2 linked regions of the Caenorhabditis elegans genome follow. The protein of the gene in region 1 purifies or fractionates together with the protein of each later gene. This does not show direct contact. Each region holds a gene or a part of one and is shown on either strand. Other genes may lie near its edges. The genes, in order: cyn-3 and ned-8.

Region 1 (15,784 bases):
AATGAATGACATGTCATTCAACATGATTTTGTCGAAACTGTATACATGACGCTCATAGTTAGTGACAAACGAAGCCTCCTCTCGAGTACGCCGTCGGCAGCTGGATTCGAATTTTGCAGCCGTGGATACTGATGGCGATGCGGCATCATCTTTGGATATCTGATCAGGTACGTCAAAGAGGCGAATGGAAACTGAACTTCGTCGACGAAATTTGCCAGAATCCATTGAAGAGAGGAAGTATGCGGCAATGATCTGAGAAAGATTGTGTAAACTGAAAGATGTCTAGAGGTCTGTCTAATGTAATAAGCTTGATCTTTTTCTTACCAGCTCTCACTGAGATTTGGGGTTGAAACCCTCTGAAAAAAGTTCAAGGAAGAGATTTTCGTGAACTTCAGAACTTGAAAGAATCCCCGAGAAGATCTATGATAATAAAATTTGCTTACCTCAACCTCGACCGTATACGCTATCGTGAATGGAATCGACAAGAACGGCCTCAGCTGAACATTCCGTGCTCTGAGCCAATCAGGTTTTCTCACGTATCTGCAAGCTCAAACTTCACGCCCTTTTTTCTATTTTTCAAACATACCCACAACCTCCATTTCTCTCAAACATTGCGTAGTTCAGTTGCATGTTCGAACAATTTGTCTGAATATTTAACGAAACCATTTGCGAGCCGGTTAGCCAGTGAATCATCGGGTTGTAGTTGGTGGAATAGATGCGAGAGGCTTTCGGGTAGATTCTTGTGATCTTTGATTTGTTAAGATTTTGGACTTTATCAATGGAATTTGCACGGAGACAGTTGTAAACGGTATTCTCATCAGCAGATACTATGCATGGAACGATGTCCTTTGTAGCATTCTCTAGATTGACAACTGTGGAAACTCCACGACTGGTCTCATAGGCTTGCATGTAGTTGGTGATGGCGGACAGCTCGGAGCATGTTGTTTCTTCTGGTAGCTCGCTGAGCTGGGCGGCTTTTTGTTCTTCAGTGAGCTCATTGAATCGTTCATTCTCCATTTCTTCATCTTCGGTCAAATCGATTGAAGATCCCTGTAGATCAATGCTCGAGCTATCGCGACTTCTTGACTCCTGTTTCTCGAATCTTTTCTTCTTGGCTTTAATCAGAATCTTGTGCTTCAAAAGTTCCGGCGGTGGATACACAACGTCGCCTGCCCCCTCTTTAGCGTAAAGGGGGTAGTCTGGAAGTGGGCCAGTCAACAGCAGCTCTCCGAATACTTGACGAAAGATCTGCACCATCTTCTCTTGTTGTTTTCTGCCAAGGTGATTCTCAATGGATAGAATCACTGGATAGGGAGATGTCTTAAAAGCACATTCCTTGATCGCCTCGCAAACTTCTTTCAATCCAATCTCGTTCATTCCCATAACTGCAGTTGGTCCATGAGTTATCACAGGTTCTCCATCTTTGTCCTTGTTATCCCACATATCTAGCTCAACGCATCGACTTCCACTTAGAAGAGCCTGACGATACATCTCAACGTCAGCGGAGCAATGACCAATTGCGTAGACCAGTTGGTTGCCTGAACGGATATTTGAAAAAAAAAGTCCGCGTGAGTTGATGACCTACCAGAACAATAAGTGTTGTGTGAAGAATTAATGAAATACTTGTTGATCGGCTCTCTCATACTAGTCACATCCATCTTCATTCTTTGTGCCGAAATCGCAACTCCGCACTCATCGGACACCATCCAATGTGTGAACATTTGAGGTGAAATTGCGGAATCTGAAATTAGCCTCGTTTTTAAAAGAAGCTTCCAATTGTAGCTAGACTAACCGCTAGAATACTGCCAGTTTTCTAAAATCGAGTTGATCTTCCTATCTGACACCTGATTGAACCTAGCGTCGTTGAGTCGATGATCGTGTTGATTTTTTCTAAGCCAATCGCCAAATTCTAACTTTGTGGCAACAGGTTCATCCTCGCTTCTGAAAATGAAACTGACTAGGAAACCATCAGAAGGTGCCCAACGGACTTGCATATGAGACCTATGCTATTCGATAGCCCATGTCTTAAACCAATGTCTAAAACGGTTACTCGTGATTTTTTAGCTGCGAATCTCCAGAACTAAGCTCACGGCAAGCTCTCAAAGATCCTGAAAATAGCACTATAACGAAAAATTGAAGGGTCAATTTTGCAGCTTCACTTTGGTAGATCATATCTCCGCGGATAAATTTTAAGTTGTTGATCTTTTTGTAAGGAACAAGTTTGTAATTGAAAGTTTTTAATAAAAAAATTGTTGTTTCAAATAAAAGCGCGTGAAGTGCGGCAACTGTTGTCTACTATTTTAAGGCTGCGATTGCTATTCTAATGCTTTTATCTGAAACAGAATTTTTTTTGGTGAAAACTTTCAACTACAAACTTGCTCTTTACAAAAAGTTCAACAACTTATCAGTTGATGACTTTTCTGTTAAAAATTTATCCGCGGAGATATGAGCTACCAAAGTGAATATGGAAAATAGCTTCTTTTGATTGTTACAGTGCTTCGTTACAGTGCTATTGTAGGATCTTTGAGAGCCCGCATTAAGCTTGGTTCTGGAGATTCGCAGCTAAAAATTCGCGAGTAACCGTTTTAAGACATGGGCTATTAAATGGCATAGGTCTCCTATGCAAGTCCGATGGGCACCTTCTGATGGTTCCCTAGTGAGGTAAATTGCAATTAATAAGAATCTTACATTTTTCGAAATATAGCTTCCAACCTGGAACCCTCAAACTTGGTAAGTATCATAATGATCTTTATGAGCTTCTGATCGTCTATCTCGACAGACTTTCGATTCTGAATGAGACTGTAATGGTTTTGCAGGCATTATGTTAACTCACCACTGGAAGGAGTTTTCCAACCTCTGTCCATTCAATTTTCGTTGAGTTTTTTCGATGCTTGTCGAAAACCTTCATAATACTGAAACTTCAATGATCAAAAATCAAGCTCCCATGTGCTTTGCTAATTCAATCATACACTCGCTCTTAAAGACGCAAAGGCTTAAAACTATCCAGTTTCTGCTATGAAAAACTTTCTATATTCGATTTTCTTGCTTTCTCTCTTGGTGGCTTTCCTTGGAACACCAACGGATGCGCATACTTTTGACTGGTAAAGTTAGCAGTACTGCTTAATTTAAATAATAAGATTTACAGCTTCGATTGCACAATTCCTCCGGTTGAGGATGAAAAAGCTGTTGATCAATACCACCAAAAGTATGATAGACGTGGGAAAAACTCGCTGCACATTGATATTAACGTCGAAAATTATTTGAAGCATCATTACAATTAAATAATGAACGTTTTACTATGCAGCAATTCGCGTCCAGTTAGGTGTACCTTGCAACTACGGTATAAAAAACTTACTCTTCTTCAATACACCTTCTAGTAAACGCCGCGTACATCTTCGGAGCCAACTTTTTACGAAAATGATACAAAAGTCCGTGCTCTTCCCGTTTGACACGCTGTACCACAGTAAATAGAGTGGCGGCGAACTCGTGCAGGCGTTTCTGAATCAAATCAAAGGATTTAGGTTAAAGTATAACGAAATCACCTCATTCTTCTCCATACACACGAAATGAGTGAACTTTAGATTCGTGATGCTTGTCCCGCTGACAATAGTCAAAAAGTTGGGCTCATAACTTCTCTCGCTGGGCACTAATTCAAAGTCTGTCGGTTTTCCTGCACGAACGTCATAGATTCGTTCTAGATAAATGTAGTTCTTCTCGTAAGCAAGCTGAAAAGTTGGTATTCTAATATGAAAAATTGACAAATAAGAGGTGTAGAAATGAAATAAAATATAGAAATAGATTATTGTTACTTTTTATTTCTACTCTAACTTTCCTCCTACTTACAACTTGAACTCTCAAATTTTCAAACATTTTTTTGAATAAATTTGAATATGGCCTCACGTGGCGTTCCCCCGTCAAAAGAAAAATTTTCTTCAACTGACAAAATGTTCAAAAAATATGGATAATATTTTATAGTTGAAATCTATTTCGCAGCTTCGCCTATTCTATAGTTATGGGGGTTTTAAGGGCACCAACCTACCTCCTTTGTATTGAAAACTTTAGGATCCTTGTACCTCCAATACAAAATATAAGGTGTTGGATCAACATGAAGACGAACGGCATTTCGGCTTGTCCAATTCTGAAAATTTCATAATTTTAAATATTTTTGATTACCCAAATACGCTCCATTGACAAAGAGTAATTTTTTTACAACAATGTAAAATCCTCACCTCCTCATATTTAAAGAAAATCAATTTACCATCACGCAAAATGTCAGTAGGTTTCGTTGCCATGTTGGCGGAGGAAAGTGACAATTTTGTCACTTTCCAGGCCAGTTTCCAACCAAATCAGCTTTCCGTGTCGTCAGCAGACGCCCGAGAGAGTACGAGTTTGAGGAGAGACGCAGCGAATTTGGCTGTACGAATGTTTGTGTTTGGTGCATATGATTGATAACTGATAGCATTCTTTGATTGGGGGAGCAGTATGAAGAAGAAAATGTCAAGGTTTATGTGATGTCACCAGTGAGTTGTAGAAAAGGTTACTAATTGTATTTTGATTTTTTATAGTATGTATTTGAATAATTTGATTTTTGGTTTTCAGATGGGAACATGAATCGAGTGTGTCTTTGAATGAATATAGGACAAATATGTACATATGTCTGACCTCATGCCTACACGCGTGCCTACATCCAAAGTACATGTTTTAGAGCAAATAGGCAGTAGGCAGGCAGGCATAAGGTAATCACGTTGCCCGGTCTCAAAACGACATGTTTTCGTCAAAAAAGTGTGCGTCTTCAAACAGTACTGCAATTTAAATTTTTGCTGTGCAATTTCCTTCCAATTTTCATAGAGTTTATTAATTCGCTTGGAAAACTTTAAAAAGTTGATTAAAGAAAAGGGACAATACAATTTTGAGATTACATTACCCTCTAAAGGCGCACATCTTTGTTATTTAACAAAACTGTGTCGTGGCGAGACTTATTTTTAGCCCAAAAAGTACATATGTAATTTTATTTCGAAATAAAGAGAATGTTCTTGATCGAGTTTAGAACTAATACAATATCTCGTCGTCAATTTTATTTAATTTTTCCAATTTGCTCGTCGAATGGTGTGCCACGTCTACATCTTGCGTACTTTCTCGGGTACCGTAATACAATAAAATCCAGAAAAATTATTTATTTCAGACCATATACACCGCAAAAGCACAATGAACAGATAAAGTAATATTTGCTTCAGCACATTTTCCACTTCTCCAAATCACATATTTTCCATCGGAAGTCTTTTCAGCATTGTATGTGTAAAACCTTAAATTTATAGAATTTTTGAAACTACTGTAAACATTAATTTAATCGGATCACCTATTGCAATATCGATAATCGGTGGGCCTTTTTGAGATAACACTGTCACGATCAGCTTTATCACATTCTATATCACATGCGATTTTTCCGTTAGAATCTGAATTTTTCTTGCGATTTCAAAAGTTTATTCAAATAAAAAGACGACCTTTCTCACAAACTGCAGGTTTAAATTCTTCGCCGGTTTTTTGAAGAGAGCAGTTGGCGTTTTCACATTTTAAAATCCGATTTTCTGAGAAATTTTTAATGTCAATTCAAAAAAATTTAATCTTTTAAAAATTACCCCATTGATAAAGAGAGTTTATAGTGTTTAGAAAAATTAAAAGCGACAATAAATAGTAGATGCGATTCATTAAAGATTGAATTAAAATCTGAATGGATGTTGCATGTAGATTCAAGTATTAGATAAAGCTGAAATCCGGTTCTGAAACTCTCCGCTTCATTATTCCTCTCTGCTTGCCTACGCACACTTTTATAGGTACACAACGGCGCACTACTATTCGCGACCGAGTGGTTCAGTGGTAAAGCGCGCCGTCTTCAAACAACAGACGCGGGTTCAACTCCTCAGCGGTGATCGATGACTTGTGCAGTGGCCGAGGCGATCGGATTGTGATGTCGCCTGAAAAGGCGGGACCCAACGTCGCGCCTTTCGCCAGAAGATGGAAATATGCGCAACGTCTGAGCTGATTTCTTTTTTTTTTCTCAATGAGACCTGGGTTTCTTCAAAGGAACAATCGGGGATAACTGAGGTTTATGAGAAAAATATGGATTAGTTGAATACTGAAAATATATAATCAAGAGATGAAGGAGATTTCGGGTGCAATTAATTTATGCCTTGAGTTGTCCACAGTCAGCGATCATGCAGTCCTTGACTGGCTTTCCGGATTGGGATCCGTTGGATTCGACAGCCTTCACGACGTCCAATCCTTCGACGACACGTCCGAAAACGACGTGCTTTCCGTCGAGCCACTCGGTCTTGACGGTGCAGAGGAAGAATTGAGATCCGTTGGTGTTTGGTCCAGCATTAGCCTGAAATGTTGAAAATATTACTTTCGAGACAGACAAAAATTCTGATATTTTTTGAGACTGATACATTCAGCTGCTCTTTCTCATAAATCATTCAATTTCTCCTAACAACGGCTCAGCACTCCATCCTACACACAACGTGCTGTGAGATATGTCTGCGTCTCTCACAGATACGACAATTTCCGGAAAAGCAACATTTAGAAATCTTCAGTTTTCCCTCTTTTCGGAGAACAAACAGTGATATTTTTCCCAAATTGAGCAGAAAAAAACATTTTCTCGAACTTCAAACAGATTCAGCTGACGATTTGCTTACCATGGAGAGGACTCCTGGTCCGGTGTGCTTCTCCTTGAAGTTCTCGTCTGGGAACTTCTCTCCGTAGATGGATTCTCCTCCAGTTCCGTTTCCGCGGGTGAAGTCTCCTCCCTGGATCATGAAGTTCGGGATGATGCGATGAAACTTGGATCCCTTGAAGTGGAGTGGCTTTCCAGACTTTCCGATTCCATTTTCTCCGGTGCAGAGAGCGCGGAAATTACCGGCGGTCTTTGGGACAACGTCATCGTAAAGCTGTAAAAAATTTATTTATTGAAGATGAAAATAGCCAAAATTTCACAAACCTCCATGACGATACGTCCGGAAGCCTTACCACCGATGGTGATGTCGAAAAAGACCTTTGAGCGGCTCATTGTTGAGGCAAGAATAGGGAAATTACTGAAAAATCATAAAAATTACATAATTTAAACGAAAATCGATAAAAAATCTGAATAAAAAACAGTGAATTCGCATGAAAATTCAAAAAATGGGACCGAAATGGAGAGCGGCAGAGAAATTTCGATTTGTGGGCGGGGTCAGAATGTTCGCTCCGTTGATAATTTGTGAGACCGCGAAGTTTGAATAAGGTTTTCTTTCATCAGCAGAGCGTGCTTACATTCTTCTTTTTGGTGGTAGTTTAAATTTGAGTTTTTTAACCAATCAAAAATTAACAGTTCTTCGCGGTATTTTTACCTTCTCCTTAACAAAAAATAATCTGCAGTTTTGAAAACTGAAATCAACAACAGAATTTATCAACAACAAATTCAACAAAGCTTGGAGCTAATCTTCCAAAAGATCAATGAGCTTCTGAAGCAACGCATTGTAGGTTATATGATCGAGAGATTTATAATTTTCGTGATGCTTCAACGCAGTAACATCTTCGCTGGTCTCCAATTGCGAAAGGCATGCATTTTGAAGCCTTGAGAGTCTGTAGACTTCGGCGAACTTCAGCTTGTCGATCAAGTGGGTCTTTTGGTCCAAAATCAAAAACGTTTCAGCCTTTTCCAGAACTCTTGGCACCGCGAATCTATCGCTCAGCTTGAGCAAGTGAGACACGTTGGAACCTGAAAATCCGTTAATAATTCCAAGCCTCAAATAAAAAAAAGAACTTACTATTAATGAGCATGTGAGTGGGGTAGATCACATTGAGCAAATCGATAAACTCAGAGTGGGTCACATCATCGATTTTGATCTCAGCCTGTGTCTTTTCGGCGAAATTCGAATAGAACATTTTTTGGAAGAATTGCGAGCTCGTTGCGAGCACTTGCTTGCCAACATGGACATGTTTTCCTTCAAGCACCAGCACAACATCGGTAAGATGTTCCTTGGGTTGATCGAAAGTCTCGATAATCCTCTCATGAATTCCGGCAATCTTGTTGACAGTAATTTGGACTTCAAGAACGGCATGCTTATCGAGCACAAATCGATTATCGTAGCAGATGGCTTCCTCCCAATTTTTAAAATTGTTGACCACCACAATCTTGTTCAAGTCGTCGAACTTTTGCTGAAACTCCATCGAAAACGCGTCATCATCCTCGTTTGAATTGAGTCTCAGAAGTGAAAAACGAATTGACGCATCGCAGGACCACAAGTTGCTGCGCAGTTCCTCGTTGCATTTCAGGTGAATTCCGAGATGTTTAGCATTGTTCGTAGCGTCGGAAGTGCTTGTGAATGCTCCAAGAATCCTTAAAAGATAATATTTTAAATAATTTAGAACATTTTTTGTTTCATTAAAATTCACTAACCATTCTACGTGTCCAATTTGCACTGGTTTGTGCTCCGTCGCCTTCGCCAAGCCAGAAAAATTTTGAATCTCAAAACGAATTGATCCTTTATTGTCTTTTCCAGACATTTTATCTTGTGATAAATTTAATTTGAACAATGAAGAAGAATTTGAAACAAACAATTTAAGCTGAGCAATGCTCTCACCTACAGTACACTAAATGGCTTCGAGACCAGTCAAAATTTATAAAGTTTATTGGTCTATTTCTAGGACTTTCACATTAACCATTTTTAGCACATCACGATGTATTTTGTGCAGATTTTATTTTGTCCTTGTACGAAAAGATTATTTTTTAGCGGATAAGCAAAGCTAATCTTGACGAACCGCTTCGCAGATACCCGTCACATGCAGAGCTTCATATTTAGCTCAATCGATCTCGAAAGCATTCAACAAAATGAAAAACTGTTGGATTAATTTGTGATCTATTTAGCAATTTAAAATGTTCTCAATGTTTCTCAATGTTAAATCATCTCGATATTTCTCCTTCTTTTCGTGAAGACCGTGGTGATGATCGAACTGATATCAATGACCGGTTTTTCAATGTAATCTTTTATTGCCTACAAAAATTGTTATCAATTTCGGCGCCGTTCTGTTGTTTTGTGTACGATCATTTGAAAACACAGGCGCACGGTGAAAGTGTTGACAAAAGGCGGGAAACACAGCGAAAGTGTCGTCAGATATGGCGCATGTCGTATGATTGGGTGTCGGGTACGCAGACACTTTTGCGGACTTTGTTGTTTACGTCGGAAAATTCTAGAAGCGAACGGCTCATTTCTTCTCTCTTTCGTCGCCTAATTTGTTGATTTTGTCAGAATTTTTATAGTTTCGCTTATTAAAATGAATTAAAATCAATTGAAAATTATTTAAGAACTTTTTTGATGTGCAACTGTCGTTTAATCCTTGTTGAATCACGTCTTTCGGCAGATTTTAGGCCCAACAGGAAAATTAATTTAGTTGGGCCTAAAATTTTCTGTTTTAGTGCGCTAATTCACTCCATTTCAGTATATAGCTCATCCGTGTGCTTCTTCCTTGTATCTTATGGTGCTTTGTTTATATTTTTAACTTTGATTGATTCCCGCTCTATTACCGCAGAGCGTGTTTGCCGCACCTCTGTAGATATACCTATCTCATACATATTTCTCAACTATAACTCAAGCATTTTAGTGATTACCCTACCTGAAAATGAGCCGCCCAAGAGTCTTCTTCGACATCACCATCGCCGGAAAACCAACCGGACGTATCGTTATGGAGGTAAACAAAACACTGATCTTTTTTCATGAAATTAAATCTTATTTTCAGCTCTACAACGATATTGTTCCAAAAACCGCTGAGAACTTCCGTGCTCTTTGCACTGGTGAGAAGGGAGTCGGAAAGTCCGGAAAGCCACTCCACTTCAAGGGATCCAAGTTCCATCGTATCATCCCAGAATTCATGATCCAGGGAGGAGACTTCACCCGCGGGAACGGAACTGGAGGAGAATCCATCTACGGAGAGAAGTTCCCAGACGAGAACTTCAAGGAGAAGCACACCGGACCAGGAGTCCTTTCCATGGTAAGTTATGTTGCCTAGCCAGATTGAAAGACAGCATAAACTGATAGAAAAGAAGCATTATCTAGTTTCTTAACTGTTATCCACTGGCTGATAAGTTTCATTGTTTTTCTTCAGGCTAACGCTGGACCAAACACCAACGGATCTCAATTCTTCCTCTGCACCGTCAAGACTGCCTGGCTCGACGGAAAGCACGTCGTTTTCGGACGTGTCGTCGAAGGATTGGACATCGTCAGCAAGGTCGAGGGCAACGGAAGCAGCTCCGGAACTCCAAAGTCCGAGTGCCTCATCGCCGACTGCGGACAGCTCTAAATTTGTTCTCCGTGAGAACTTTTCTTCTTTTCAATCACCCCATCCAACCCTGTTTATTGCTTCACTTTTTCATCTTGATCATCAATAAATTGCTCGAAAAGAATATAGTTGTTCAGTTACATGGGTCGTACTCGAGGAAGCCTTCGTGAATTGTTCTCAACAGCTTGGAGAGAACTGTAACATTGTAGAAGCGATTGAAAGCGTCGATTTCCGTCATTTTGTTCCAATCTCTGCGCATTCTATCCTGAATTTCAGACAACCGTTCGAACTCTGTTGACTCGTGAAGAGTAAACACATAAAATGGAATTGTTAGAGGAAAAGCTGTAAATTGTGCAAATATTCAGATTTCGAGCATAAAATGTAGGCATTGTTGCCAGCTCTTCACATTCTTTTGGTTATTCTCACTTGTCAGATTCCTAGAAATGTTTCCCGAGATTCTTAATAATGAAAAACTTCGATTGGAGAACATTAAGAAGATCTATGAATCGAGCAAGTCTGGTTATGAATCGGCCAAACAGTTGTATGAGCAGCAGGTCAACAATCCGGAAGTTTCGGATGAGCAAAAGTCGGAGAATTTGGAGAAATTGAAGGAGTCTCGTGGTGATTTGGACAACTTGCAGAAGAAAATCGTCGAGCTTCAGGCGAAGATTGAGAACTTGGTTAGTTGAATACCTTTTTAATAAAGCTCCAGTAGTCTCTCCATTTTCAGAGCAAACTCGGCGGGCAACAAGGAAATCCATTCAAGAAGTTGTTCTAATTTTTGATATTTTCTTAAATGAACTTTCTTCCAGTTACAAGAGTATTACAGGCGCTAATATTTATTTACAATTGTGGCAAGCTATTTCAGAAAATAATGTGCGGGTTAGTAGGTTTGGGTTGTACACAAGAATGATTTTAGTCCTCGTCGGAGCTCTCTTCCGAATCCTCTTCGGAATCCGAGTCATCATCTCTCCGAGCGCCGATCCCTTTTATCTTTCCGACGAGCTTTTTGATGAGAGATGGCTTGTTCTTCTCTTCGTATTCTTCCAGATTATCGTGAAGCTGAAAATTGGAACATTTATTGTGAGAAGGCTTTTTGAAAACATACTTGAGATCTGAAATCGACGATCTCTTCAGCCGAAAAGTTCGCGACAATGAACTCTCTGATAGCAGGCTCTCCGAATTTGCACATCTTCAGCACGTGCTCCTCCTCATCCGAAAAATCACCGTAATCATCATAAATTTGCAAGTATTTCTGGAAATTCTCAATTATTAGGGCATTCAACCCCAGAACCCTACCATTCCACAGAATCTCCAGAAACACGTTGAAGCTGCGAAGTCTCTTCAGCCTCTCCATCATTTGTGAAGCCATCGTCTTGTCCGGAGCTACAAAACTAACAATTTATTTTGATGAAGCTTATTATATATTTGCCTTCCCAAAGTGACTGCGGCAGTCATATCGAGACACAAATCATGATCACCATTGTAGAATCGATTCCACCAGAAGTCGAACTCTCTGACGCCCATAGACTCGTTTCCGAGAGCATCGCAGAAATCTTTGTATCCTTGGGTAGAGTCTTTCAGACTGAAAACTTCGTAGAGGACGCAAGAACGAACGAATTCCGGATCTTTGCACAGAGGAGAAGTAATGAACTGAAAAGTAAAGGAGTTAATCGAGAAATTTGAAATTTTTTAAACCTCCAAGTGCTTTGCTTTCTTCTCAGAACGTGACGGATCCGATCTCAGGATTTGCCCATTCTTTGCACGTTCGAGCTCGTGGTCAATGGCATTTTGTGAGCTGATCTCAAGACCCAAATCGTGATTTCCGTCGTAAAAACGTCTGTGCCAGAACTCGAATTCCCGATTATGCATGATGTCGTTTCCGAACGTGCTGCAGAAGTTAGCGAATCCCTGAGAAAATGTGTTCAGCTTGAACACCTCGTAGAGAACACATGTGCGAAGGAAGGCTGGATCAGTACGCAAGGAAGAAGCCATAATCTGAAAATGAAAATTAATGAAAAGCGTAATACATAGTGCAAAATGGAAGGGAAACATGGGAAAACCAGGGAAAGAGAAAAAAAGTTAGAGCTGGACCAAATTTGGGACAAAGGAGAAAAGAAACGAAAAAGAATTCAATTTTTACCGCGCGCAGAATAAACTTATTTGATCTACGGATAGGTCAAAATTATATAGATCTGATCAAATTTCTTTTCTGAAAAAAAAAAGTTCTGATTTTTTAAACCGAACAACAAAAATTTTCCGTTTTCCGATGTTTTGAAAAAAAAAATCTAACAAAAGAAACACATTTCTAGGAAAAGAAAAAGTATTTGCAAGGTTCGAGTTTCGAAAAACTATGTTTGAACCGTGCCACGTGACGCGTGGTTGCAGAAAAAGCGTGCGGCGCTTGCAAAAATGGGCGGATTAGCCACACGCGCTCTCATACTACTGTAGACAAGAACATGTGCAACTGCAGACTGAACACTCTATTTGACGCGAATATGCAAAACATGTTTTCTTCCGGATTTTTGCCACGCCTTCCAGCTTGTTTTTCATCATTTTTCCTGAAGAAAAAATAAATATTTCATTTATTTGTTATTTACCAGTTTTTAAGGCCTTTTAGAATAATTTAAAGTTTTCCATTGGGGGATTCCGAACAAAAAATTTAAGTATGAAAAATTTTCTTAATCTCAAAGTGATGTGGACTAAAATCAATTATAAAATTTGCATCACACGCTTGGTAATTGATTGATCCACTCAACGGGCCTTCATATTTCGGGTCGAACACTCTTGCAAGCTCCGTAGATCGGTTTTCCGGGAAGAAAAGTTTAGCGTACTGGAAGTGGGCAGATACTGTGAGGATCTGGAAATGAATTTTATTTAAAATTTTATTTTGAAATGCATAAATAAATTTAGATGTTTCCTCTACTTTTTTTGAAAAAAGGGCCTGTTCTGAGAAATTTTATAGGAAACCTAGAAAAAAAAACTCACATCTCTGGTCTGTATGGCATCTTCCGTGGTAAATGAATCAGTTTTAATCTTAAAATGCTCAAAATGAAAGAGCTCCTCAACATCTATCAAATACGTTGAGAACAACGCTTCTAGAACCTTTGCCTCTTTCCATTGATCCAAATGAACAATAGTTTCGAACAAGTCATATTGGTCAATGCTTTGCAGAAAACTCAATTTCCTAAGTTTTCCCGCCTCGAAGCATGCCAAAATAGGCACCATCTCGTCGAATCGTGCTCTTTTAACTTGAAACTCACTGACATTCAGAGGCTCTGCAGACTTTAGAACTACTGGAAGGGAGTTTACAAGAGTCTCTCGGTGGTTTGCTTCTACGAAAATGTAAAATTGAAGTTTGAACACTTCCAGATTCAGTTTCGGATTTCTTAATAGTGATGAGAGATCATCCAGCATAACATCCACACAATTTCGTTTCTTAACCTTCTTCCTTTTCTTTCCAAAGCTTACAATGCAACTTTGGCCCACTGTTTCGTAGGTGATACACGCATCATCCAGATGAAAAGAGACAGTTGGGTTATAGAAACTTGCAATTTCAATTTTGATTTCCTTGAAGCGACAGGTTGCCTCAATTATTGCACGGAATTTTCGAGACACTTTTCTGGCGATTATTCTGGAAATTGTAAGTTGGCTCTGTTACTAACAAGTGAAATCGGTTCTACTGAATTGAACAAATTTATTTTCAGATTATTTTGAGAAATTTCAGAATTTTCACAAAATATTTTCAAGGGAAGCCACTCCAATTTTGTTACTTGTAAGGAAACAGTCATAATTTCGATTAATAAGTGCGCTCCAATGAAATCCTAAAAAACTATATTTGGAAAATCTCTCACCTATCAATTGGTCCAAGCTTTCTCAAAACTTCGTCGACAACTTCAGTTGGCAATTCAGAAAATGTTGCTGTATGCGATGAAGCCGGTTTCGATGAAGAAAATAGCTTTTTGATAGATTTCAGCTTTACCATTTTCCTTTACATTAAACTTTTTTGTGGAAAGCTGACTATTTGTTGGTTTCGTAAAACCAAAGATGAAAAAAGTGAGAATGACAAAATCGGCTGATAAGAAATTAGGAAATATTGTTATCAGAGTAGAAGCATCAATTTTTCTGTGTTCCAAGTTTAGGTTGGCCACAATATTTTTTGACGAAGCTGGAGCAACTATTATGATATGACGAAGCTGGAGCAACTAGACACGCGGATTTTCAAACTTTTCGGTGTTAGAGTATTCCATTTTGGTTTGATCTTTAAGAATTGCGGACGCTGACATTTCAACTGGTGAATTGAGAAAAAAGTCTAAAACTATTCTATAAATTTAAATATCAATTTTAAACATCTTTCCGGTCTTTGTGCCTACTTCAAGTCAAAATGCATACTTGCATGCCTACTGTTTCATAAAATTTCGCTCATACTACGTCCTGCTCAAGACGAAATTCAATTCCTAAGTTTCAAGACAATTCTCGTTACTCAAAACAGAGACCCGCTCTCAATACTTCCTTGGAAAATTACTGACTCAAAAAATAAGCTCTAATTTGACTATCGAAATCAACAATTATATCCAGCTTGAGAATGCCTGGAATTCTGTGAAAAATCGTTTCCAATTATGTTTTGGCATTCGGTGCTTAACAATTGAGTTATGACCCATATCACATTTTTCTCAGAAGGGAGTTATGACACATATCACATTCAGCAAATTCAATTTGAACAATTCAGTTGTTCTCGTAGTTCTGTCTAGCAATTTCAGCTGTTATAGGTTTTTCTTGCGATTTTCAGTTTTCTTTAAATAAAAACCTCATATTTTATCTGAAAAAATTCTTTATAAACTTGATTCAATAAACTGTAGATAAAACATGGAAAACCTTCCCACTTTATTTATTTGAGTAATATTTATCTTTAAACATTTCAAACGAGGAACATTTGTATTTGACTTGGACTGTAGACCTTTGTAAAATCAATACCCTCTGGGACCTCGTGCTTATACAAAAGGTTGTGGATGTGAACGCGACTTGGCTTGCACTTCAGGAATGGAGCGATCCATCTGAAAACCGGTATAATCTGGAAATCATTCCTCAAAACTCACCGGAAACAATCTTGGCTTTGTTGTGACGATCGCATCTCATAATGAGCAATTTCCGTGCAAGAAGCCTTAATATCCTTGAGCATCGACGCAAACATTGCCTGAGCAACACGTGGATTGTCTGCATAAATTGGACCAAGATTACTGTCTTTTTTGGTTCCATAAACAATAAGTTGGCTAATTCCAATCACATTCCCATACTCATCGTACGCAACTTTCCCGAAACCATCTTTATCATACATGTGGGAAATAATAAAAATTTCTCGATGATACGGATAAATGGTTTGACCGTAGTTGATTATATCCCTCTTGGGTACCTCTCTAGCATCCGTTACAGTAATCCCACTGAAATCCAAATCTTCGGGAATAATTATGTCTTT
Region 2 (15,164 bases), on another chromosome or scaffold:
AAGGCGTCTGTGTAAGTAGCTATTCGTCGTATTGTAAGCAGGTGTGGGTCGACTTGTAGCCAAGCTAAAAATCTATATATTGTTGTATGTCCAAATTTCCATTAGTCTTCAATTAGTGTTATTTTTTCTAAAAAATACTGCCCGAAATTTTTTGAAAAAAAAAACTAAAAATATTTATCAAATTTTCTCTAATCACATGACATTCTCGTCATCAACACAACCAGCTCTCGATTCTAATTATCCCTTGTCATTTTCTCGTGTTTTCCATTTCCCTTACTACCACCACCTCACATCTACAGTAGTCTAATGGGCGGAGCCTCCTCTCCTCGCATCCCGTCTCGTCGCTCCGCCCCTTATTTCACTTCTCTCGCTTTTTTCGGCAGCTCGTATATTAAAGTGAAAAACAATAGAAATAAGATGTTGAATCCGACGGATGCCGCTTCTGTCGCCCTCTCATTTTCAGTTAGTTTTCTTTTTTTTCTAATTATAATTTATGATTTCAATGTAACCTTCTAAACTTCAGGTCCCATTCCAAATGAGCGGAGAAAACCCTTTATCAAAGCTCGTTGAGCATTGCAATAAATTCGTGCCGGGAGCAGATATCAAAATGAAGGCAGAGCCAGCAAAACCAGAATCACTACTTTTGCCAACTGATATGAATGCGTACTCTCCATATTTAGCAACTCCTAATTGGTAAGTACACATTAAATCTATGATTTTAAAGAGCTTATAACTATGATTATTAATTTTTGAAAATGAAAGCCTATCAACTGATAATTTTAGAAGCATGGGTTTTAGAGATTTTACTTCTATGCTGCTGAAAAATCAATATTTCTGATTAAACTTTTCTATGGAAGCATAAATTTTTTCTTCCACTAGTAATTTTGAAAATCGACCAAAAAACTGTATTTCAATTATTGTTTCCCTCAAAAGTTTTATACATCCTTAGATTGCTCTCATTCATATTTCTCCTCGTTCCTTGCAAATCATAATATGTTTCAAATTTTCAATTTGTGACTTAAAATTTAATTTACTCCGACTGGGAATGCACAACACATTGGTTTTTGAAAATGTACAAAACTGAAAAATCAATCAAGAATTTTAGAAAAAGTTTGATCTACTTAAAAACAATGTTTATTGCTGTTCAAAATTATGAAGTGAATTTAAAATACTTTTTTTCAAATTGCAACTTTCAGCAAACTTTGGTATGTTATTTTCAAGCTTCCAACAGAAAAAAAACATAAATTCCAAATTAATCAATTACTGTTCTATAATGCTACATAATTTTTTCTATTGTACAAATTTGACAACTTTATCAAAAATGTATGTTTCAGGTGGGTTGACCAAACAGGATGGCCACAACTGTACCCTACAGTAACCACAGCTTCATCTGTAGATGTTTATCAAAACTACTTGGCTTCTAGTCAACTTGGTGGCCTTTTAAGTTCGTCAGTTTCTGCAGTGGCTTCTCAACTGCCAGCCGGTATTAATGCACAATCAGCTCTCAACATAACGAGTCAACAGAGAACTATTGCAAAGGTTAGTTATGGCTTAGCAACAAATATTTAGAAGAGCGCTTTGAGCTGGAGAAAAGTAGCGCTTAACATTTTCAATGCGATTTTTTTAAAATCAAAACAAATACTTGAATTTTCTTGATGGGATTTTCTCAATATAATGTTTTGTAAACCTGAAAACAGCTTGAAGTATCTGAGGTATTTAAAAAACATATTAATATTTCCAAAAAGCTTCTAAATTTTGCCTTTCGATAAATTTAACCAAAAATTTCAGATTAAATAATCCCCATTCCAAATTGCTCCGTTGCCTTTAAACTACTTTGCAATACCCTTTTGAAAAGGTCTGAAAATTCTGATCCAGTGACAACGTAACGAAAATGTACTTTATATATCAGTACCAACACGATTTTGGTAATATGAAAATAGGCAAGCGATTAGTCGGCATTTTCGAAATTCACAACCTAAATGGTGTTGTACTGATTGGCGGGGTTTGAGGAAAAATATCAAAGACTAGTACAACTTGTAGTAGGAGTAGTGATAATATGATTATCACATGGTGGCTCAATGATCAAAGAGCTCTGAAACGTATATTTTAAAAATAAACTGAAACATGAAGGGAGAAGCAATTTCACAATGTTAATCAAGTAACGAAAAATGTTCACAACGAATAGGTATAGATGTCTGCCTACAAGGTGACCTACGCTTACTTGTCTGTCTTCTAGACAACAAAGTACCTGTCTGTCTGTTTCCAAGACGACCTAATCGCCTGCCTTCGAGTGGGCCTAGACCTGCTTGTCTACTTTAAAGACGACCTAGACCTCTCTGACTGTCTTCAGAGCTGGCTAGGTATAGTTGCCGACCTATAAGCCGGTCTGCATACCTGCTGTCATGGCAAAAACGCCTACCTATCTGCCTTCAAGACAATCCAGGCTTGATCGCCCACATTTTATACAACCTAGACCTGCCAACGCCTGCTTGTCTTATGTACACGCTTATTTTTTTCTGATAGGCGTTAGGCAAGCATGCCCACCTGAAAAGCTTAAAAACGATTACAAACCATTGATATTGAAAAATAACCCTATTTTTCAGAGTTTCCAACACACAAAACCAATGGCTTCATCTTCATCAATTCCATCAGTACTAACAGCTTCCAATTCCAGTGCAAATAGTCTTGTAAGCAGTGGTTCTGAAAGTGTTAGTGCTCGTGGAACTTCTGGTAGTGGAGGTACTGGTAAGTATCCTTCATCACGAACCGCCAACAAGTGCGAGTGCCCAAATTGCCACGAAATTGAGAAATTCGGTACGTTTCCTCCTCTCCAATTCTTCATTTTTCGCTGCAAAAAAATGAAAAAGATGAAAAAGGTGTTGGCAATGAATCAAATCGTTCGTCCGTTTTGTTCATCCTTTCGTCCCATCTCAAAACGTTCAATTAAACAGTATCTCTGCGTCTCTCAACTTTCCCACTCTCTATTCGCTCGATTCTTCTGGAGGTGTCACTTTTCGGGGGGAGGACGACGTTTTTGGAAGAAATAGAAAAAAAACTGCCTCCTTCTGCCATACATTTTATGCGACGGAGCTTGAGCTCTCGGACAATTTTGATGGAAGGGACGGAGGGAGGGAGTGAGTCGGAAAGCGTGAAATCGCACATATTGAAAGAATTGAAAGAAGGGAGAGCGGCGGGAAGGAGTTCTTAGGGAAAGTTTTATGATTTCTAAAACAGGGTTCTAAAAGCCTTAATAACCACTTTGTTTCGTATAACGATTGTTGGCTATTTATTAATGTAGGAAACATCTTTTTGGAATTGTTTCCGTTAAGACGACTGTAAAATTGAAATATCGGTGTTAGTTTTTCCGGGATTACCGTAGTTCTTAAATACGCATATATTTGCGCGGTTCCTTGATATGAAAATATTTCGTATATGGTCGCAAGGCCAGGTAACGTATTTTTTGAGTAAAAATGCTGAAATAATTTGTAGTGCAACAGATCCTCGCTTTGTCAGTCAATGCCGTAGTTCATTGAACGGGCAAAATTGTTGGTTAATCCGGCGTAATTACCTGCCATCCAGACATGATCAGTAATTCGATACGTCTGGCTGAGGAGGAGAAGCTGAGATTTGTTGATCATTGAAATTTTAATTAAAGGCAGTATAATTAAAGGCAGGCTCCCTGGGCATATGGGTTTTGGCAACAACCAGAAAACTTCAGAAAAAAGATCAATTAAACCATTACAAAACATTGAGCCAATACGTGCTCTTTGAACTGGAAAAAGTTAAACAGAAATTTCACAGAAAGTAATTTACCTAGAATTTCATTTTTTCAATATTTTTTCTAAAATGTTGGAGAATAATTTCATAAATTCGCAATTTTAAAAAATGTGGCTCACAATTCTATTTGGATTGGTTTGCCGCGGAAAAAAATTTCGTCTTGTAAAGATTTTATGGAACGAAATTATATGCAAAATAGTGTGAAACTAATTTCAAAACACCCTACCATACATTTTTTCGCCGCGAGATTCATCTGAATATGCTCCTTCAGGTAGAAGTTCCAAAATTTACGAACCAATTATCACGCAATCAGTCATCTAATCGCTTGTTATGCATAAATCCAATTTCAAAAATAATTTCTTCAAATTTTCGTTCACCTAATAATACCTTTATCCGTCCGTAGACAAATCCACACGCACCTGTTCATGGGTAATCCAACCAAAATCCCACGCTTTTTAAGTAACCGATGCGCTCCATAGGAGCATAATTGGTGTGTGCAACGATATGGGATGTGCTCTCTCTTGGGAACATTTAGATGCCGACAGATATCAATAGCCGTACAAAAAAGGAAATTAAGATGATTAAGATCTTTAAGAAACTGTCAGAAGGTGTAAGATGAATGATGAATGATGATAGGAAATAGGGGGGGGGGGGGGGTGGGGCACTTTTAAAGAAAAGAGCAATTTTTTCACTTTGAAATTTATTTTGATTTTTTATTTGAACAAATTGTAGCTTGGTCATTTTCTGAGTTTTGTTTAAAAAAACATGGCTTTACTTGAATGGGTCTTACCGCAAGAAAAACAATTATATAATTGAGATAATTCAATAGTCTTTACCATTCAAGAATAACTACTAAAATACGGGAACATTTTTCTGAAAATCGATAAAGACTGGAAAATGCTCCTAGTATGTACTTGAAGTACAACAAGTTCTACCATAAACTTTAATTTTTGGAATAACAGCCAAAAACTAATTTTTGAACATTTTTGTCATGTTCAATAATTTCAGTTAATACTAGCATAGGAAACAAAATTTTCATTCCATCGAAATTCAATATCTCATTCGTTTCAGGACCCAATGCAATTGCAGCACGTAAGCGAGGAGTTCATAATTGTCATATTGCTGGATGTGGAAAAGTTTATAATAAGAGCAGTCACTTGAAAGCACATTTAAGATGGCATTCTGGTGAACGTCAAATGGTAAGGAAGCCCGTATAATCAGGAGATTGTATCCGAAGATTGTCAAGGAATTGAAGGTGAACTCGCATTAGCTTGTAGAGTGATTGTTTTTTTTTGTAATTATTATATTTGAATCTTTTCCTAATCCAGTTTATTATCATTGTCCAATGCGTTGCGTCATTCACAACCAAAAATTAATCTGGCAATTATCATAATTCTGTTTTTTTTAAGAAGAAACGCTCCGGTGACAGCTCATGACTACATCGTCCATGTTTCCGTATCTCTTCACATATCTCATTCAAAATAAATTAACTTTCTTTATTTGATATTTCTATTTTATTTCCTCTTGATCTTCTCTCTTCTGTCTCTGGTCTATTGTGAATATATTTTTCCATCCTGTCTGAAATAAACAATTGTGGTCTAAAATATATAGAATTCATCCATTTACATGCAATATAACTGCCGTATTTTGTCTATTGGTATGGCTGCAATACAATTTTTCAGAAATCTTCACGACATACCAATAAGCAAGACCGGGGTATTTTATTTCAAAATTCTATTTTACGAAGGCTATCCTCAGGTTATGCAGTTCTTTCGATTTACCAATGAAATGAAAATTTTAGAAAACATATTTTCGTCATCATAGTTCTGAGTTTAAGTGATCTGAACGAGAGCCGATATGGCTGATATGGCACCATCTTATATGGATACATTTTCGATTTGCACTTAATATAACAACCGTATTTCTTCTATGATTGTTATACTATTTGTGTTGGGCTTATTAATTTTTACTTGAAAGAACTCAATTTTTCATTTGGAGATGTTAACATTTTGATCATAACTGTAACAAAAAGTTCAATAACTTCAATTTTTATAAACTTGAGAAAATTGTTTAAAAACAGGAAACAAAAATCTCGGTAACTCTTAAAAATTAGTGAAGCGGGATTGCACCAAACAAAAAATTAAACGCAAGATTATTAAGGAGTACAGTACTAATTTTCGGAAGATGTTTAAGATAATATGGTAAATTGGAAAAAATACGGTAAATATTTTATAGAAAAAAGATGAATGCAAGGGGAAACAGATGGGAGTGAGGAGATGATATTACGATTTACAAAAATGGGAATGGTATTTTACACGAATTTTGGAACTGGGGAAAACAGATGTCGTGCAATATGTGTTAGGTATGAACAAGATTAGAAAACACTAACACATTATTAGAATGGCATGCTGCTTTTTTCGATCACTTTCATGAATGACATCGACGCTTCATTTACGCATTGTGGACGGAGATTGTAAAATTGGGATATTAAATTGTTTGCATTGTGAAGGTGAAGAAACCATCCATGGATTCAACGACGTTACACTCTGCCTTAATTCCATCAATACGAGTTATTTCGAACTTTTGTGGTCCAATTTTATGCTTAGGTAGATTCATAATAATAGGCAAGTCACTGATGTCTGGATGTTCAAACTTAAGATATTGAAGCATACAATTCGAGTAACAAGACATCCAGTGACGGATAAATATATTCCAATCTTTTGCGCTCATATTCGAATGAAAAACTGTGATTTTGAGACAATCAAAATTGAGAAGAAAGTACAACCAGCGTTACCAAACTTTTTTGCTCGCGATGAGACCCATCTATTACGGGAACACGAAATTCTGAGAATGCGTATTGAACAACATATTTGACGCGCAAAATATCTCGTAGCGAAAACTACAGTAATTCTTTGAATTACTACTGTAGCGCTTGTGTCGATTTACGGGCTCGATTTTCGAAATGAATTTCTCCGTATTATTTTTTTCATTTTTTTATTCTAATATTTTATCGATTAATAAATGATTTCCGTAAATCGTCAGCAGTGCTACAGTACTCATTTGTTGCGTAATACGAATTCTCAGGATTTTTTGTTACCATAGTGTTATTTTCATCAATTTCTTTCTAATAAATGAAAAACATTTTTAAGAGTTACCGAGATTTTTTTTAATATTCCTTTTCAATGAGGAGAAAATTGTCAATGAGAAGCACTAATTGTTTCGCCGTTGCGTTCAGGGCAGGACTGCTTTTAATTTTAAAATAATAGCATCACGAGATCAAGAATGCATTATTTATTTGAACACAGAAAATAAAATGAGGAATATGATTTAAAGAACTGATGTAACAATAAATATTGAAAGTTGGAGAGATTGGACATAAAAACGGGACATTCGGGACTGTGACTCGTTTCTATTTGGAGCGGGCTCAATTCAGACGGGAGTTTACATTTTATATGAATACATTTTCTTAAAATCCTCCGCGGAGAGCAAGAACCAGATGAAGAACAGATCCACCGAGAACCTTGTAATCTGCTGCTGTCTTGTCGTCGTTCATTTGCTTTCCGGCGAAAATGAGACGCTGTTGGGGTGGTGGGATTCCTTCTTTTTCTTCGACCTGCAAAATAATTTTCGTTGGATATTTCGAGATAAAATTTAGCTAAAATGGAAGTTAAAGTATGTTACCTTTTCTTTGATTCTCTCGACTCGATCATTTGGTTCGATGTCCAGCTCAATTTCCTTTCCAGTCAAGGTTTTAACTTTGATGAGCATTTTCTGTAAACTGAGACGATAAATAGCGAATATTAGGTGAAAATTAACATAAAATTTTCAAAATACTGCGTTAACAGATAAAAAGTGATTCAAAAACAATGGATTTAACTCTAAACTTGAAAAAAAGAACAAAATTCGAAGAATGATGAGAGGGGTCCGGTAGAGCGCATTTGGAACGCGAGAACGAACGAGAGAGCATGAGAATATGAGAGACGCAGCAGCTTACTACGCAGTTATTTTTTGTTAATATTTATTTTTGTTTTTATAATATTATTTTCATTTTTAATTTCAGTCTTAGTCCGAAATCTATTTTGTTTGAAGTATTAAAAGTTCTCATAGCTATGAAATATATTATTGAGAAAAGAAGAAGAAAAATTCAAGAAATGAGATAGAAAATTGCTCACCGTTCGTCAAGACGAAAGAAAAGCGAATGAAGTACCTTTCTCGAACAAATGCGCTCAGCGTATCAAGAACAAATCGATTTCTTACAAATACTGCGCGTTCTGATCTCCTAGGAAGTTCAGTTAGGTTCATCCTAAACACTAGTTATCGATTTTCATATTTCCTACTGGTCGAATGTGATATAATAATGAAAATTAAACAGATTTGTGGATAGGAGAATTAAAATATCATTCATGAATCACGGAACACTATTTAGAAATTATATTTACATTACTCAAAAAATTGGGGTGAAATAGAACAAAACACAAACCCAAACATGAAATTAAATAAATTATTTCACCATTCATAACGGCCATCATAACTACTATTATAAGCCCATTAATGAGCACTCATTGAGCAGAAAATAAATAGACATTGGCCTTGTGGCCGAACTTGCACTCTTCCATAAAGCGTTCCAAAGAGCCTTCGATTTTCTTGCTTAAATGACATTTCTCTATCCTTTTCATAAATTGAAATTAATGCTTCCACTTAATAAACTAAATTTCAGCCGAAATGCCTACTATGGTAATGTCACAACTGCCTAAATCATCAGGCAATGCGCGAAAACGTCAAAAGAACAAAAACGACCACATTGTCGTAAGTATTTCTGAAGATTTCGAGTCCAACAACATTAAAATCAACCCTTTCAGGCAATCAGCTACATGTACGTTGGAACTCCAAAGAAAAAGTTCACCTTCTATGTTCGAGAAGTAAATTAAATATCTGATAGTTCAAGATTTATTCATTTCTTTTCAGAGAATGTTGTATCGTTCGAATGTGGAAGTTACATACGAGGATGTATACAACTATTTGGCTACAATTTCCAACGACGAAACTGTTTCTTTGCATTATTCTGGTAATTTTCTCAAAAAAATCCCATTTCGGAGCGAATTTTCAGACAAAAATTCGAAGTTAAAGTTTCTCATAGTTTTGTAGAAGTTTTAATCGAAAATTTATATAGAAAGATAGAAAAGTACTTCAACTGTTGTTTGCAAATTTTGAGAAACTGCAGCTTTCAGGCAGTATTCGAGGTCCCTTTTGTTTCTGAATAAATTTTTTTCTTTGTAAAGCTAGACAATTTTCAGTCAATGGTTTGTACGTGCCAATCACAACTACTGGACAGCTTCACACATTTATTCGCCATGTTCATAATGATCCTACTGCATTTCTGTACGTAGAGGTAAAAGTTTCAAATCTATCAGAATGTAATCTAATTTAATTTTTTTAAATTTCAGAATCAAGATTACGTATGGAATGTTACGCCACAGAGCAAAAGCCACAAAATGGAGAAGCGAGTTCCAAATGGAGGAGCTACTCCGATAGATGGAGACTCTGAACAGTATGATTCAACGGAGGACGAAGAAGTGTCTCATGTTGAAGATGAAAATTGTGATTCTGAAGAAATTAGTCAGGACGAGGAAGAATATGAAGATGAAGAAGGTGAAGAATATGACGATGATGATGAATCTCGAATTGCGCCAATTCTAACTGATTATACAGCTCCAATGATTGTTAGCGACAAGATACCATTGAAAGAAGCTTTTGTAGAGCCCAAACCACGTGGTCAAACCGGTCAGCAACAGGATACAGAGGTGAAACATCGATTGATACGTATTGGAGATCCACTCGCTTCACCTGCTAAAAGTATAGTAAATACTGAAATTTAAAAAATATTTTTTGTCCATTTTCAGAATCCCCACTTTCCAACCGTCAATGGACAGAATCACAAGCATACCATCACGTTAAAAATATTCTATCTGATACTTTATCCAAAAAGTCGATGGATTCAGCTCCAACACTGATAGCCGAACAACTCGTTCGAGACGTCTGGAATCCCTCATTCCCATATAATGAGAAAGTACACGAAGATACTGTGGCTCTTCTCGCTCATAGTCTGGGAACCGGTCTTCTCCATTATTATAATAGAATTTTGTCGAGATATGTAAGAATTTGTTGTCTGATATTACCAAGACATGAGATTGTACACTTTAAAAAATGCGGGACCCGGTCTCGCCAAGCGACATGCGCCTTTAAAGAGTACTGTAAATTCAAACATTCAATTTCCATAGATTTTCATTTAAAAATAATTGATTTATTGAAATCCCAAAATAAAACAATTAAAACACAAATTTCAATAAATCATTTTTTTTAAACTATAAAAAGTCTATACAAATTTGAAGTCACAGTACTCTTTAAAGGCGCACACCTTTTTGAGGTTAACGAAAATTTGTCTTGGCGAGACCGAGTACCATATTTTAAGCTTAGACATTGCAAAATTTCGTGTCGGGGTAATATATATATATATATATATAATGTTTTTGAAACAGAGATAGTTAAAGTTGAATCCTTTTCAGGCTCCCTGTGATATTTCTTCCGATTATTCGCCGCGAATGGAAAAACTTTTGAAGGAAGAACTCATGGTAATTCAATCTTCAAAAAAAAACAAATTCAAAGCACTTTAGACTCTGGATTCTCGCATATGAGTAATACTAGTTTTAGGAAAGTTTTTAAATTGCTAGTTTTTCGTTTACAAGCACTCAAATTTTAACAAATATAAAAAAAAACAATAATTAATGCAAACCGTTGAATTTTCAAAGTACGTTTTTTTAATTGAATAACACATGATTAGTTTTTACCTCAAAATAAAACAAATTTCAGCCCGCACACGATCCAGAGTTTCTGATAGAACTCGTCGAGAGCGCTACAATTGTTTGCTGTGATATGCTTGAAAGTGTACAACATTTGGCTCAACTTCAAAGACAATTCGATTATTTCAACAATATCAACGAGAAATACGTAAAAGCTAGTGAGTTCTGGAATTATTTCTGATATTATCAATTTTTTTTTCTTTTACAGAGCCCAACGAGAAGGATCCACTGCCACCTCTTCACGATATGTATGAGAATTTGAGAACTGCTGTCACTTCTGCTTATTTTGGTTTCAATATTTTGGAACCAATGTTTCCACCAGGATGTGAATGCAAAGAAGCTATTCGTTTAGTCACACTTGAACTTCAAAAAGTTCATGTTGCTTTGAAAGTTGCTTTGATGTCTTCTAATAGTCCACAATATGTAGATGAAGTGAAACGTTTCAGTATTGAAAGTATTCACTCTATTATTGGAAAATTCACTACCAAGTTCGTTTTTTTTCTAGTTAAATGTGTTCCAGAAAAGGTCCCACAATGATCGATTTCAATATTAGCTAGACGCAAAATTTTGCGTCAAAACTACAGTACCCGGTCAATATTTTGATAAATTCAAAAAGGTGCGTGCCTTCAAAGGATACTGTAATTTCAAACTTCCATTGCTGCGGAATTTTTATAGTTTTTCTATTTAAAAAATTGAAAACTCGAATACAACAATAAAACCACTTGAAAACTCAACAAATCGAGAAAAAAAAACGGGGAAATATCGATGAAAATTCGGTAGCAACGAGAGTTTGAAATTACAGTGCTTTTTAAAGGTACAAAACCCCTTTGCAATGATCAAAAAATTGTCGTGGTGAGACCTGGGGCCGTATTTTCGGCACATGAATCACAAAACTTCATATTTTGCGTCTGGGTAAAAACAATAATTTTTTAAAAGTCAATCAATGGCGATTCAAAAAATCAAAAACAAAACTAGATTATTTAACAATTCCGCGTTCAATTTCATCATTTTTTCAGAGTATGCAGTCAACACAACACAATTGAACTGGCTCTTCGTAGTTCTGAAGTATCGAAATGGCGAAGTAATGTAGAAGTTGGATTTGAGAATTGGATACGTTTACGTGATAAGGGTCTCAGCCATTCACAACTATCTTGTCAGCTTTATGATACTCTTCTTGTTCGTCCAACTCCATATGCACTGCAACCAAAAATCTGTACTTCTGTGGCTGATGGTGGTGGATCGAAACCTTCAGATGATTATGCTGATTTAATTTCTAAACCATTGAATTCCGGGCTTAAAACTGGCAATTTTCATAATATGATTGATGCAACTCTTGCTGCTTTTGATAATCTCAGTGTTGAAGAGAAGATAATAAAAGAAACGAATGGAAAAGCGGCTAGTAATGTCGCTGCTTCTCACTCCACGGCTCCAACTACAACCACAACCTCTGGTGAAGCTTCAGGTGGTGGTCAGGCTACGATTTCTAAGAAGATGAGTCCCGAGTTGCAAAAGATGGTCGATATGATGGTGAGTGTAAAGTTTTATTTTTAAAGATGTGCCTTGAAAGTTTTATTCTGTTTAGAAAGTTTAATGTAAAGCGTGAAACAGTGATGCGCGAATTTCTCGTTTTTTTTTTTTGGAAAATCGGAAATGTTTTTGTTTGTGAAATTAATTTAAAATCTAATTTTTCCGAAAAAAAACCAATTTTGGAATTCCAAAACACGATAACCCTGGTTCTTGTTTTTTTTTTCTTCAAGAAAAATCCAACTTTCAAACACACTGTAAGAATTATTTTCTCATTAAATGCAATGATATTAGTGAATTCCTTTCCAAAAATATCCAAAAAATGTTATTACCCGTTTCCTGGAAAAAAGCATTACCTACAAATTCTTAATGTAGAAATCTAAAATTAAAAAAATGTTTCAGTACAAAAAAACTCCACCACACAACTACGTATATCCGCCACCTCCAAAACCAGGTGCAATACTTGTACCAACCGGTGGTCTTGCTCATTGTCGTTGCTCGAAAAACTGTACAGAGTCATTGATGGAACCGGCCTACGAGTATGTTGAACGCTTCAACGAACCCCGACAAACTGTTTGGGAGAAGACCAAGCAGAAACGTTTCAAGAAGAACTAGGACCCCTATTTTCATTCCGTATATCTCCAAATGCTTTATTATTTTTCTCATTTTTATAACATATTCCCCTCATTCTTTCCCCAAATTATCACTTTTATTGTGATCAATCATTCCTTATCTTTTTTTTGAAACTTCTTTCAGTGCCCAGTAAGAAACCAAATTTACCGTTTTTAGTCCAAATGCTCCAAATTTTTTTTGCTCGCTTCTTGTTGTTTTGTTCAGGGTTTTGGATAATATAATCACAATTACATCGTTGTTTAGTTGTTTTGCATAATCAATTATTTCCATTTCCATAGGTTTTCTATTTCTTTCAAATATCGTTTCAATCCATTTCATTGCCGTTTCTCTACCGCCTTTTTCCTGCATCTCTTTCATTTGAATTGTGCATTGGAGTACATATGTGAACGCATTGAATTTCATTTTTTTAGAAGATTTTTCTGTGTCAGTTATATCACCTTTTATTCCCGCATCACAATTCCCCCCGTCCACACCGCCATTTGATCATCATTTTTTCTGAAACTTAAAATGAATTTTATGAGTTGAGAATGTTCAAATTGCTTTATTTTCCGAATACTGTTTGATACTACGGTAGTGATTTGCTTCTCTTGAAACTTTTCCTGTATTGAGGCAATTATTACAGGAAAATATTACATAAACCCGAAATTTTGTAATGTTTGCGCCAAAAATACAGCACCTGGTCTCGACACGACTTTGTACAAAAAGGTGAGCACCTTTTAAGAGCACTGTAATTTCAAACTATCGTTGCTGCGGAATGTTCATCTATTTTATTTATTAACAACTTGATTCGAAAAATCAATGAAAATTCCGCAGCAACGAAAGTTTGAAATTACAGTACTCTATAATGGTGCACATCTTTTGACATTTTACAAAATTTTGTCGTGGTAAGACCAGGTATCGTAATTTTAGATAAAAATCGCAAAATTTCGGGTTTGACAAAAATAGAAAATATTACCGTAACCCAGTGCAGCTAATTTGAACTTTTTTCCAGCTGGCGGGTATCATCCGCAAAGGAATCTTCAGTTTCGTGGCATTCGAAGTCACTGCAGCTGCTCTCGGATTTGCTGCATTCCGTACAATACGAAGAAGTGAGGAGAAAAGAAAATATTTATATGTCAATTGGCCTTCAGTTGCTTCAACGTATTATTGGGTTGAGGACTCAATCTCATTCGGACAACTCACTGTAAGGATTTCATTCAGATTCTTCGAAAAACTGTTTTTTAAAGAAATTCGAAAACTATAATTAATTTATCAAAATTTAAAAAAAATCTGTAACGTCCAGATGCGAAAATACAGTAGGCAATCCACATGGCGGAAAAATTTAACACAACAACGAGTATGTGCCTTTAAGAAGTATATTAATTTCTCGTTTTTTCTTCAAACCTTGTATTTTCGTGAATTAATCGCTTATTGTTAGTACAAAAACTGTATACGGTATGTAAAATAATGTGTTTATTAAAGGCGCATGCGTACATCCGATCGTGTTGAGACCGGCTACCGTAGTTTTGCATCAATATTTCAAACACTTCAGATCTGATTAATAATATTCATTTTTAATTTTCCAGGGAACACGTCTCCGACTAAACGATCAACGTCGTTGGGCTCAAATCGATCCACACGCAGACAACATTGAGACGGACTAATGGTTTCAAAATCTCAAATTCAAACTGGTATCCTTGGTGTTAGTCTGATGATGGCTATCACGTGTAATCATATATACGAATATTGGCAAAGGAATAAACCATCACCGGAAATTCCAGTTCAATCATGGGATAAATATGTGAAAATGCAGAAGGAGAGCGGCAAGGATTATTGAATTTTCAATATTTTGTTAGAATTTAATTGTTGATTAGTTTTTTTAAATTAATAAAACTTGAAATTAATAACTTTTCTTCCTTCAATGCCATATTTGGTTGCACTACCATGGAATTTCTTTATCAAAAATCGAAAATTAAAACTTCAAAAAACTATTCCAGATGTCTCAAACAGGTCCATTCATCCGTGTGACTACGGTCAGTGCTCCACTCAAAGGATCATTTCCATTGGATCACGAGGGAACTTGCAAATTAGAAATGCTCAAGTGAGTATTTTCAGCAAAAAACTATTTTTGTAAGTTAAATAACTGCAAAATAGAATAGAATTTGAAAACGTTAAAACTTTTTTTACCAAGAACCTTTCAATTTAGGTGAAAATTGACAAAATGACTGTTTTTTTTCTAATTCTAGAGAAGCAAATGGGTTACTGTAACTAGTTTTTCGTAATTTATTGTGGATTTTTCTTTTAAAAATTGAATTTTTATTACATTTTCTTTAATATTTTCTTTCAGATTGCCAAAAACAATCTGAAAGAGAAACGGAAAAATGCCGATAAAAA

The links.
Region 2: the proteins of cyn-3 (region 1) and ned-8 purify together in Caenorhabditis elegans (affinity purification with mass spectrometry; 2 studies listed by BioGRID, with this or other methods). This does not show direct contact.

What each region holds. Positions count from the first base shown.
Region 1 is NC_003283.11:15,181,231-15,197,014, reverse strand, and holds cyn-3 (Peptidyl-prolyl cis-trans isomerase 3), read right to left. Parts: upstream 7,089-15,784; 5' UTR 7,064-7,088; coding exon 6,995-7,063; intron 6,945-6,994; coding exon 6,693-6,944; intron 6,383-6,692; coding exon 6,182-6,382; 3' UTR 6,089-6,181; downstream 1-6,088. Other genes in the region: Y75B12B.13 (uncharacterized protein), read left to right, coding at 3,016-3,101, 3,146-3,281; plc-2 (Phosphoinositide phospholipase C), read right to left, coding at 1-252, 444-540, 587-1,538, 1,586-1,741, 1,793-1,941, 2,689-2,789, 2,834-2,912, 3,356-3,498 and 3 more; Y75B12B.11 (DUF7808 domain-containing protein), read right to left, coding at 5,179-5,302, 5,357-5,453, 5,502-5,585, 5,637-5,706; bath-36 (BTB and MATH domain-containing protein 36), read right to left, coding at 7,470-7,753, 7,803-8,374, 8,435-8,541; cyn-7 (Peptidyl-prolyl cis-trans isomerase 7), read left to right, coding at 9,655-9,723, 9,772-10,023, 10,138-10,332; Y75B12B.3 (Transposase), read left to right, coding at 10,755-10,991, 11,042-11,089; Y75B12B.1 (Mos1 transposase HTH domain-containing protein), read right to left, coding at 11,607-11,697, 11,744-11,964, 12,010-12,306; fbxa-84 (F-box domain-containing protein), read right to left, coding at 12,974-13,171, 13,300-13,945, 14,166-14,296; T09F5.10 (DUF1248 domain-containing protein), read right to left, coding at 15,230-15,365, 15,408-15,784. UniProt on the Caenorhabditis elegans protein: Catalyzes the cis-trans isomerization of proline imidic peptide bonds in oligopeptides. Plays a role in protein folding, transport and assembly.
Region 2 is NC_003279.8:10,366,315-10,381,478, forward strand, and holds ned-8 (Ubiquitin-like protein NEDD8), read right to left. Parts: upstream 7,549-15,164; 5' UTR 7,546-7,548; coding exon 7,459-7,545; intron 7,391-7,458; coding exon 7,244-7,390; 3' UTR 7,059-7,243; downstream 1-7,058. Other genes in the region: sptf-1 (Specificity protein transcription factor 1), read left to right, coding at 307-462, 524-693, 1,335-1,539, 2,604-2,814, 4,849-4,976, 5,187-5,213; hpo-35 (PB1 domain-containing protein), read left to right, coding at 8,500-8,583, 8,637-8,696, 8,743-8,842, 9,072-9,166, 9,222-9,630, 9,678-9,928, 10,341-10,406, 10,645-10,792 and 3 more; F45H11.11 (uncharacterized protein), read left to right, coding at 14,434-14,607; cox-19 (CHCH domain-containing protein), read left to right, coding at 14,768-14,871. UniProt on the Caenorhabditis elegans protein: Ubiquitin-like protein which plays an important role in cell cycle control and embryogenesis. Covalent attachment to its substrates requires prior activation by the E1 complex uba-3-ula-1 and linkage to the E2 enzyme ubc-12.